2 linked regions of the Caenorhabditis elegans genome follow. The protein of the gene in region 1 purifies or fractionates together with the protein of each later gene. This does not show direct contact. Each region holds a gene or a part of one and is shown on either strand. Other genes may lie near its edges. The genes, in order: ugt-1 and spt-5.

Region 1 (4,767 bases):
AATATTTTTTTGAAAAATATTTTGACTCACCCTTCCAGGATGCCCATCGACTCCAGGTCCACCCGGTTGACCTGCTTTTCCTTGCGGCCCAGAAGACCCAGGCTCCCCAGACATGGGATAACCGCCATCTGGACCAGGCGGTCCCCCTCTCCCGACTCTTCCAGGGGATCCGGCAGGTCCTGGTGATCCATATGATCTGGTTCCTGATCTGCCTGGTTGCCCAGTTGCTCCATCATGCCCATTAGCTCCGCCCGATCCATTGTCTCCTGGCATTCCTGGATATCCTGGAAGACCTCTCCCTCCAGGAATTCCATCCATTCCAGTAACACCCACATCTCCAGGATGTCCCATTAATCCTGGCCTTCCAGGTTGTCCTTGTGGTCCCATTGGACATTGAATACACCCATTATATGGTAGCTTCATTGATAGCAATACGCCGACTCCTCCGGGGCTTCCAGGTTGTCCAGCTGAGCCGTCTTCACCAGGGTGGCCAGGATGACCAGGACGTCCCGGGGGTCCTTCCGGACAGATCAATGGCACTGAAAACGCTCATTTAAATGCAAAAGATCGTGTCCCGTAAAAATTTTCTGTATAATTCCGTGATTATTTTCACTCGGGAATCGCTCGCCCACTATGGGGGAGTCTACGCAAGGACAACGCAAGGACAAGGACAACATTCTAATGGAATGGAAACGATTGCCCGACTGCACCAATTCTAGTTCAAGTGAACAATGATAACTTTTGTATTCTGTATTCCTTCACGTCTCCCAGCGAGCGTAATAAATTATTATTATTATTATAAAAGGAGAGTTTTGATCAGATAAATTTATTATCGTTGAATATCCACTTTCTCTGTTTCTCGTTTCATTCTCTAAACGACGTATGGATAATACATATGATGAAGGTCTAAAAACTTCAAAGAAATGTCTCCTAGTTTTGCAAATTTCCACCGAAAAAAAATTTGGTCGGTTCTCGGACCATTTATGTATTGTATTTTATTTGGCTTATGTTTTACTCAGGAAAGTAAATAACTTTTGCTAAATGTACATAAAATCAGCAATGTTTTCAAAAATGTTTTGAGGTAATCCGGCTTCTATGTGATATATTAATTCAATCCTAACTGATAAGATAATTATAAATTTAAAACTTACTGCTACCTCCAACTTCTGGAACAGCATAAGAATTGGTTGGTGGAATGGTAACATATCTTGGCTGCCCATATCCATGACGTGGTGGTAATTTGATTCTATAGACTGCCCGTTTTTCTCTAATTGATTCAGTTATCAAATTCCACGCATCATCGGAATATTTCTACAAAACATTGAATTAAAAACTTGAAAAATTAATTATGGACCAACTTCAAATGTTTTCAGATCTTCAAGGGAAGTAATTTCAAAGTTTTCAATTTCATTAAAAACCGAAAAAATTGAAGCGAGAATCGTAAGAACTGCAAAAACAATGAGCAGAATAGTAGCGAATAGAAAATTTGTGTGCTTCATTTTTGTTTTCAGTTTCAGACAGGTGTCTATATTTTATACTTTTCAACACAATAGATATTAATTATTTTAGAGAGAAAAAAACAGGAAACAGCTACATAGTGTGAAGTGAAAATAGAAATATGAAAAATGAAATAACAATGACTTTGACGAATTTATCCCTCTTACCCTAAATTTTCAATAAAATCAAAATACAACAAAAGCTCCAAACTCTAAAATTACTAAATTGTATTTTTGTACCAAAACTAGCTTCCCGACATTGATAAGTAACGCACTGGCACAAACTCTAATTTTTTAGTGAACACAAAAACAGTAATCTGCAAAACTTTCTTTCTCGTATTCTCTGTTTCTCTACATACCGTACTTAATATTTCACTATCTTATCTCTCTGTGTCTCTTGCCGACCAAAAAACTAATGGTGGATCGCTATATAAAGAAATGTTAGGTAAGGAGTTGAATGTCAGTTATTTCTGTAAAAACTAGAAGTTTCTAAAATGAAAATCTTATTTCTACTTCTTACAAGCTTAACTTTTTGTTATTCTCATAACTTTCTCGTAGTTTCTCCAGTTTTTGGATACAGTCACATGAAATTTATGAATAAAGTAGCGGATACTTTGGCCAACGGAGATCATAATGTGGTAAGTTTTAAAAATTTTGATCGAGTTATTTGCTTGCTTCTTCAACCTTTTTGTTATTTCTTATTCAGACAATTCTTCAAACATACAATTACGAACATTTTGGTAAAATCCGTATGGCAAAGAATACAAATGTCGAGGTATGGAGTAAAGTATTAATTTATTGAAAAAAAACTTTTCTAGATCCTAGACTATCATCTCGACGAAAGCAAAGCGGTCAGCAATGAAAACTCTGCAAGTGCCTTCAAATACATGTGGAATACCGAAATAATTAATAATCCAATTACTGGAGCTATAGCAGTTGGTTTATGGATACTTATTCCGAAATACCATAGTTTTATTTCAGACTTCAACAGTTCTATATGGCGAAATGAAGACAATGTGTGAAAGTAGATTTAAACCAGAAAATCTAGATAATAATGTTTTATTACAGAGGTTCTTCTTGACAAAAAACTACACAAATGGATTCTCTCGAAAAACTTTGATGGATTTATTTCCGAGCCATTCGATTTTTGTGGTCTTTATCTTGGAGATCACTTGAAGCTTAACATAATTCCAATGCATTCTTCAACTAAAAGTCTTCCATCTGTTTACGCAATTGGGGAACCATCATTGCTTAATTTTTTACCATGTGAGTTTTGTTTATTTTTGAGCAAATTAAAGGTGACAGACGATTCTTATCAACTGATCTTATGATTTTCTATAAAAAATATTTATAATTTCAAGCCATGAGGACAAAGTTCGGAACGGAGCAAACTGTTTTTGATCGAATCGGTGACATCATTGCTCTTCCATGTCTCGAACTCGCATTCTCGAAGCTTTTCGAAAAACAATACAAACAAGCATCTCAACTTTTGAATGGGGATGTTCGACACTGGAAGGAAATTCTTCAGACTGCCACGTTTTATTTTTCGAATGCCAATGATTTTATTGCATTTCCAACACCATCACTTCCAAAACATGTACACATTGGAGGATTCACAATTGATCCACCAAAAAATCTGAAATTAGAAGAGGAATATAACAAAATTCTGAGTCTTCGAAAATCAACAGTCCTTATTTCATTTGGAACCGTAATTCAATCAGCGGATATGCCAGAAAGTTTTAAGTGATTATTTTAAATTTGGAATTAAAACAACTATTTCAATTTCAGAGATGGGATTATCAAAATGTTCCATCTTCTACCAGATACCACTTTCATCTGGAAGTATGAAGTAGAAGATCAACAATTCATTGAAAGGCTCCCGAATAATGCGATTCTGAAGAAATGGGTTCCTCAGCCAGCTCTGCTTGGTATTTTATCTCACTTTTCTTTTGTACTTATTTCAATTTTCAGCTGATCCTCGACTGAAACTCTTCGTAACTCATGGTGGTCTCGGCAGTACTTTAGAAGTTGCATACTCTGGAAAGCCTGCCCTAATGATTCCAGTGTTCGGAGATCAATTATTGAATGCAAAAATGTTGAGTAGACATGGTGGTGCTACTGTTTTTGATAAATATGATTTGGAAGATGCCGAAAAATTGACATCTGCAATTAAAGAGATTATCGGAAATGAAGAATTCAACAAAAAATCACATCATATTGCTGATCTTCTAAGAAATCAACCAATTGATCCAAAAGCAAATCTTCTGAAACACGTGGAGTTCAGTGCAAAGTAAGATAAACAAAATTAGGATAGCAAAGATTTTATAAAGTTTCAGATTTGGAAGAGTTGATGCTTTGGAACCATACAATGTTCACTACAACTTTGTTCAGTACTACATGTTAGATGCTTTTGCCATTATTTTTTCAATTTTAATCATTATCTTTTATTTAGCACATTTACTTTTCAAATTTGTTTACAAACACGTTTTCAAGACAAAATCAAAGAAAGAGTAGTTTTAAAAAGTTTTATTTGCTATCAATTTGTATCTCTTGTTGATTTAATTCATATTTGAGCCTTAATAAACTGTCTAATCTGCTTTTATCAACATAAAAAATGTACACCTAAAAGGTGCAAATCCATAAAGCAAAAAATAAATGGCGGAATCTAGACGATATCTTTTTCCCTGCTTTTGAGATCCCTGTATTTGTGTCTACTGGCAAAGCATTTTCAACATTCTTCTCGTATTTTATCACCTCACAAGTTGTAAGAAAAAACGTACCGTACATTCTCAATTAGTATATAAGCCAACTACTCCACTTTGAAAATTTATATCTCGGTTCATTCGGATGATATAAAATAAATAATTATCAACGGCAAATTTTTAAAAAATAGAACTGACAAATATTTTGCTAATTGCCTAATTTTTAATAGAAGAAACGAAAACTAAAATATAAGCTTTCAGAGTTGAACAAATGGGTGCAATTTCAATGGATAATTTAACAGTAAATCAGAAAACGGTTTAACAGTAAATCAAAAAACAGTTTAACAGTAAATCAAAAAACAAAAAAAAATTATTGTACAATGCCATCAGACTTTTCTAAACTCCATAGTTTTCCAAGTCCGAATACTAAGAAAAAGTGATGACCGAAATTTCTAAAAATTGTTTCATCACATCGATGTTTTCCAACATTCAAACCTTAATGATTCCCTATAAATAACAATATCTTTCTACACCATAACATATTCGAGATTAACATATTTGTGAATATA
Region 2 (6,658 bases), on another chromosome or scaffold:
TTATTTCTTACGATCTCTATTGATATGTTGAAAATTATATGAAAAAAATTCAAAATACAATTTATTCGAACCCGTTTAACTGGCTATACTCGTATTCAAGATCTTTCCTGGCATATCCATGAACTGCAATTACACCATCATCCCATTCTTTTTGAGACACTCGTCGACACCAGAAGATGAAGTTCTCATTATGAGTTGCTGCGACATTCACTGTTTTGGCGAGAATACCCGTAAAGACATCATCGAATGGAAACATTTTCAGTTTTCTAATTGAATTTCTGAATCGCGCAATGGTTTCGGAAGTGAGGAAGACAGCGCCAGCGGAGACGTATGGAGGATATCGTGAAAATGGATACTCATTCAGCGAAATCTGTAACTTGTAATAATTTGGAAATAGGTTTTTTTTTTACTTGAAGCACTTACGCTGTGTTTGTGGATCTTAAGCCTGAATGGTGACGTGTCAAATACGAAGCCTTCGTAAACAAGTTCCTCTTTTTGTTTAGTTTTTGCGAATTTTACAAGATTTGGGATATGTACCAAATAATCGTCATCTACCAGAAAGGTAAAGTCTGGAGAAGAGCATTGATTTGGATTCGCAGCGTAGTCAATGGCGCCAAACAACTGAAATTAGGTTTTTATTGAGAAAAGTGTTCAAGAAAACAAACTTTTAAGGTATTGTTCCGATATGAATCTATGTCTGATATTGCAAGAATATCCTTATACTTCTCCGATTCTACATCAATTCTTCTCATTATCTCCATATTTTCCACTCTTCCCACAATGAAGATTGGCATAACTTCGACTCCATCAATCATTCGAAACACTCCCCACGTCTTTCTTACTGACTCTCGCATCTGAATATTGTTTTTTTTAAATAGAAATTTGATTTTCTGCAAATACTAACCGGTCCATTTTTCGCACTTGACTTGATTATAATAATAATAATCTTTTGTCCATTGCCAGAAAATTTGCACTGTGGATATTTTGTAAACTTGCTTCGCAATTGTAAATTACGCGTTTCCAGTGGCCAACTGAAGTCACCAAAACTCGTCTGAAAAATATAATCATTATGTTTAAATAATTTTTTCTGGCGTATAAAGTACCTCTCTAAACTTATCCACAACTCCAAGTACCCATAGAAGAAAAATCGTAATCGTGAAAATTAAAAGCTTTTGAAACGAAGAAAGTTCATGATATTTTCTGAAATGAAATTAAATATTTATGCGAAATTGAAGAGCAAAGCAATACTTCTTAAAGCTTTGAGATTTTTCAAGCGTATCCACAGAGAATTTCCTACCTTTTCAAAATCCGCACGCATAAAAACATTAAAATGTTAAATAAATATATATTTAATGCGCGGCAAGTTGTGGGTTTTGGACGTGAACACCAGATTGCGTACCGGGCATCGGAACCGACGACAATTTATTTCTTCTTCATTTTCTTCTTCTTTTTTGCGCTTAATTTCTTCTAATCATTTATACCTATAAAGTTAATCATTTTTTCAATTGATTGATTTACTTCTTGCCTAATTTTCTGAATTTTTAAGCGTTGTCCTAAATCACACGCGTTCCTCCTCATTTCTCTGCCCCAAGTTATTTGAAATTTACTTAAATGTTTCAGTTAGCAATGTCCTCTGACGAAAGTGATGCAGCCTCAAACAAAGAAGAAGACACGGTTAGTTATCGATTTTTCACTCTATGATTTGAGATTCGATCGATTTCGCCGAAAATAACAAATAAGCTTTCATGGAAAATTCACAAATTATGCGACTTTACTTATTTATCGATTTTTATCCTCTTACAGACTTTGAGCGATGATGATGGCTCAGATGTTGAAATCAAAAATTCAAAGAAGGACAGAAAGCGGAAACTTGCTTCAGAGAGTGAGGTGAGTGAAAACAATTAATTTTAAAGTTACAATCCTGTCGGTTTTTCAGAAAAGTGGCTCGGACGATGATGATGACGACGATGACGATGAAGATGAAAACGTGACCAGCAAGAAATCTAAAAAGCAGAAACGGAAGAATAAGGCTCCTTCTGGACGAGATTTTCTTGCTTGGGATGTTGAAGTCGACGACGAAGACGAAGACGACGACAATGATTACGATGACGAAGACGATCCAAGCATGAATGCAATGAACGAGCGAGAGGAAGCTGAGCGTGCGATGAAAGAAATGGAATTGAGTCAACGGAATAGAGATCGGTACAAGTTCCAAAACATGACGGAAGACGAAGTCCAGAAATACTTTGAGAACAAGTACAAGGGTGACAAAAACGACAGTCAATATGATGACGAAGATTCAGCTATGGATGATATTTCAAAAAATTCTCATCTTCCATCCACGAAGGATCCTAACCTGTGGATTGTCAAATGTCGCATGGGAGAGGAAAAACTCGTAGCGATGCATCTGATGCGTAAATGTCTTGCGGTTGAGCACACAAACGAGGTAATTGATAAATGTCCCGTAATAATGATTGCATTTAATCAATTTATAGCCATTCCAAATCAAATCAGTTGTCGTCAAGGAAGGACTCAAAGGAATGATCTATATCGAGGCGTTCAAACAATCTCACGTCATGTCTGCAATTGAAGGATTTTCAGCTCTCAATCAATTCACTATAACCATGGTTCCCATCAAAGATATGGTAGATGTATTGAGAGTTGTCAAAGACATTCCACAGTTGAAACTCGGATCATATGTTCGTTTGAAAAGAACAATGTACAAAGATGATCTGGCTGTCGTTGATCTTGTGGATATCGCTCAGAACCGTGTCAACCTGAAATTGATTCCCCGTGTCGATTATCAGAAGCGGCGCGGAGCAATGAGAACTGATGCTGATAAAAACTATAAGCTGAAAAGACGCCCAATGCCCAAGTTATTTGATCAGGATACCATCAAAGAAGTTGGAGGAGAAATTGTGACGGACGGAGACTTCTTAGTATTTGAAGGAAATCATTTCCGGCGAGGATTCCTCTACAAGTACTTCCCCATAAACGCAATTCAAGCTGATGGTGTTAAACCAACTCTTGGAGAACTCGAAAAGTTCCAAGAATCTAGCGATGATCTCAAGAGAGAATGTAAGTTTTTATTCCTTTATTCTTTTTTAAAAATACTTTTTTTCAGTGGAAACGGCTTCTCTCAAAGACACAGAAAATCCATTTGTTCCTGGAGATATCGTCGAAGTGAAAGCTGGAGAGTTGGTGAATCTTCGGGGTAAAGTGATGACGGTCGATGGGACGAAGGTTGTGATGATGCCAGATCAAGAAGATTTGAAAGAAGCAATCACTTTGAACGCTCATGAGCTCAGGAAATACTTCAAGGAAGGAGATCATGCAAAGGTTATTAGTGGACGATACGAAGGACATACTGGATTAATTGTCCGAGTAAAAGATAGCACAGCCATAGTTTTGTCTGATCTTGGAATGGAAGAATTGAAAGTTCGTGTACGAGATTTGCAACTTTGTGCTGATGTGACAACTGGAGTGGACTCACTGGGACAGTTCCAATATCATGATCTTGTACAGCTCGACCATACAGGAAATGTTGGAGTAATTGTTCGATTGGAGAAGGAACATTTGGAAGTTCTCAACATGCACGGAGTTGTGAATCGTATAAAGCCACAAGCTATTATAGCGAAAAAAGACGTTCGATTTGCGAAAGTTCTCGACAGTCAAAACAATTCCATCGAGGCTAAAGATCTGGTAAAAGTAATTGGAGGACCAAACGCAAAGGAGCGGGAAACCGATGAGGATCCAGTTGGAGAAGTTCTCTATGCGTTCCGTGGAACTGTCTTCGTTTATTCTCGCAAAGTGACTAAAAATGGAGGAGTCTTGGTTTGCAAACCAAAACAACTGATTTTACAAGGAGCTAAGAAAACAACCAGTACACCGATGGTTTCTCGAATGGCTTCACCGAATCCTATGGCATCACCAAGACATTCTTCTGGAGGAATGACTCCTCGTTCTCCACAAGATGGTATGTCAAGTCGTGGAAGCAGTGGTGGACAAACTCCGAGACAAGGTGGAGGAGGAGGACGTGGTGGTCATTTTGGAACTGCAAATCAACAAAAAGTTCGTCGTGATCTTACCCTCATTGGAAAAAATGTTCGAATCATCAAAGGTCCGATGAAGGGCCACTTTGGAATTGTTCGAGATGCCACAGAAGACACAGTTCGTGTCGAATTGCATACACAATGCAGAACGATTTCTGTCGATCGTGCTCGTGTGATGGTTGTCGGAGACACTGGAATAACAGCTGGAAGTGGAGGTGGAAGCTCGTTCTACAGTTCTTCGAAGACACCGATGCGCGACTCTGGCAAAACTCCAATGTATGGATCGAAGACTCCGATGTATGGAGCACAAACACCGATGTATGGCTCGATGACTCCAGCTTATGATGGAGGAAGAACACCGGCGTATGGAGAAGGTGGACGTACCCCTGCATATGGAAGCAAAACTCCAGCATATGGAGATCTTGATGAACATTCATCATCACGTACTCCAGCCTATGGAAATGACAGTTCAAGAACTCCTGCTTACGGTAGTGCTGATGGTGCACGAACTCCTGCCTATGGAAGTACGGAAGGTGGACGGACTCCAGCATACGGATCAATGGACAACAGTAGAACTCCTGCATATGATGATTCTGGAAGAACGCCTGGCTATGAAAGTATGCCATCGAGAACTCCGAACTATGATTCAAGCAGTAAGACTCCAGCCTATCCAGAATCCGAACATTCCGCCAGAACTCCAGCATACAATAATGATTATGATATTCGTGAGTTGAACCATTACATATCTTTGCAATTTTTAATTTTTAATTGTTTAGCGTTGAGTCCGGCATACGAGCCCGATGCACCTGAAGCGTATGACAATGCTCCAGCAAGAACTCCAGCATTCGTGTCCCGTACTCCAGGATACGACACATATGAGAACAGCAGCCCGACATACGAACCAGATGCAGCTACAAAAGTTGAGGAAGACATCGGAGACACTTCGTCTCCAACTTATGATTCTCCTCCACACTCGTACGTTGTGCCAACTCCAGGTGCAATGCTCAATCCAGCAACTCCGGGAGCCTATCACGTTGATACACCTGGATTCGCTGCTCCAATGACGCCAGGAAGTGGAGGAGCATACGATCAATATGTTGCGCCTTCTCCATTCGCTGGCTACGACAGTAACAACTACAACAATGCCGATGGAGCTATTGAGCAAATTCGTAAGTTGCTCAAGATTTTATTTGAATTATAGTGAAGCTAATTTCTTATTTTTAGCGGACCACTTCCTGGCTCAAGGTGTGTGGATTGTGCAGAATCTGTGTGTGCAAATCAAGGACCACGAAGGGCGATTCAACGGACGTGAGGCGATCATTAAAGATGTTACCGATGGAAAAGTGGATGTCTACATGCCAGATCACAAGTGCAACTTGGAAGTTGATTTCGATCAGCTAACTCCAATGAAACCGCAACCAGGAGATGATGTAAGAAAATATTAAATTGAAAATGCTAAATGAAATGTTAACTTTAAGGCTCGAGTGATTTTCGGACAAGATGCAGGTCACAGTGGACAACTTGTTTCCATGGATGGATTCGAAGCAGTTATCCGATCACAGGAAGACATGTCAGACATGCGAGTCATCAACATTGGATTGTGCTGCAAAATGCATAGCGAAACTTGAAAAGTTGTTCACTTTACTATTTATTCTCCAATTTTTCTTCGCTTTTTTCTGTTCAAATGTTATTCGACACTCGACGAGTTTCACTTCGTTGTGTCTATTTTTTGGTGTCACCCTTTGAAAATCGTTCATTTATTTATTTATTATACACTGTTTTATTTGAATTAAACATTTCTTAAAATGATTGCTGCTTTTCTTTTTCAAAAACAAATACACTTGTTGTACAACCAAGAGATATAATGAAAAGTTTAATTTCAGAGAACATATTTTTTGTGAGATCAAGAATGAAGAGGGTAGTAAAGAGATTCAGGCTGAAGGATTATAATCAGTTAGTTCGAAATTTTCAACTAGTTTGTTCACTCTTCGCACAATATCTCGTCCGTCTCGATTGAAAATATCATGGAATTGATTATCATCGTCCTCTGGCATATCACCACGAAGTCTACATAGAAATTCTGGTTTTCGAGGCAAAGTGTAGAGAGCCGCAGCGACAGCAGTTCTGATTGGCCAAGAATGAAGTTGAGAAAGATGTTTGTCATAAGAAGAACGAGCGATTGTCGATACATTTTCATCATTCGACGTGAACACTCCATCCAGCAAATCGATGACGAATTCAAGAGCTCTGAAATGATGAACTCATTGATTTTCTCTTCTACGAATCCACGAATACCTGTTAAGAACCATCAAATGTCCAGTGCCGCTTCTATTTGGTTTCTGATTTCGAATAGTTCCATTCTCCGACTCCTTCGTTGCCATTCCGATGATAGTTCTGAAAATCAGGAATTGAAAAAATATTTCGACAAATTAAATATTCACCTGTAAGAATCTGGATCCGACGATCTCATTTGCGTGAGCTTTTCCAATTTTGCAGTGACATCCTTCACGACAAAGCTGAAAATTGTTCCCCAAGAGCACATGACGCTGAAATAGAATGATTCAGAGTTAAAATTCTAGAACATCTGTGTGACTCACTTGCAAACA

Evidence for each region.
Region 2: the proteins of ugt-1 (region 1) and spt-5 fractionate together in Caenorhabditis elegans (co-fractionation; one large-scale study listed by BioGRID). This does not show direct contact.

What each region holds. Positions count from the first base shown.
Region 1 is NC_003283.11:10,393,725-10,398,491, forward strand, and holds ugt-1 (glucuronosyltransferase), read left to right. Parts: upstream 1-1,938; 5' UTR 1,939-1,990; coding exon 1,991-2,134; intron 2,135-2,202; coding exon 2,203-2,271; intron 2,272-2,314; coding exon 2,315-2,431; intron 2,432-2,477; coding exon 2,478-2,520; intron 2,521-2,564; coding exon 2,565-2,762; intron 2,763-2,857; coding exon 2,858-3,239; intron 3,240-3,284; coding exon 3,285-3,424; intron 3,425-3,467; coding exon 3,468-3,786; intron 3,787-3,832; coding exon 3,833-4,010; 3' UTR 4,011-4,096; downstream 4,097-4,767. Other genes in the region: col-151 (Nematode cuticle collagen N-terminal domain-containing protein), read right to left, coding at 31-539, 1,152-1,311, 1,359-1,499.
Region 2 is NC_003282.8:12,049,871-12,056,528, forward strand, and holds spt-5 (Transcription elongation factor SPT5), read left to right. Parts: upstream 1-1,620; 5' UTR 1,621-1,626; coding exon 1,627-1,674; intron 1,675-1,803; coding exon 1,804-1,887; intron 1,888-1,936; coding exon 1,937-2,446; intron 2,447-2,495; coding exon 2,496-3,078; intron 3,079-3,124; coding exon 3,125-4,777; intron 4,778-4,828; coding exon 4,829-5,221; intron 5,222-5,276; coding exon 5,277-5,482; intron 5,483-5,530; coding exon 5,531-5,680; 3' UTR 5,681-5,876; downstream 5,877-6,658. Other genes in the region: Beta-1,3-galactosyltransferase bre-5, read right to left, coding at 62-370, 424-621, 666-854, 905-1,051, 1,104-1,200, 1,298-1,326; K08E4.2 (Glycolipid transfer protein domain-containing protein), read right to left, coding at 5,984-6,299, 6,348-6,446, 6,494-6,598, 6,650-6,658.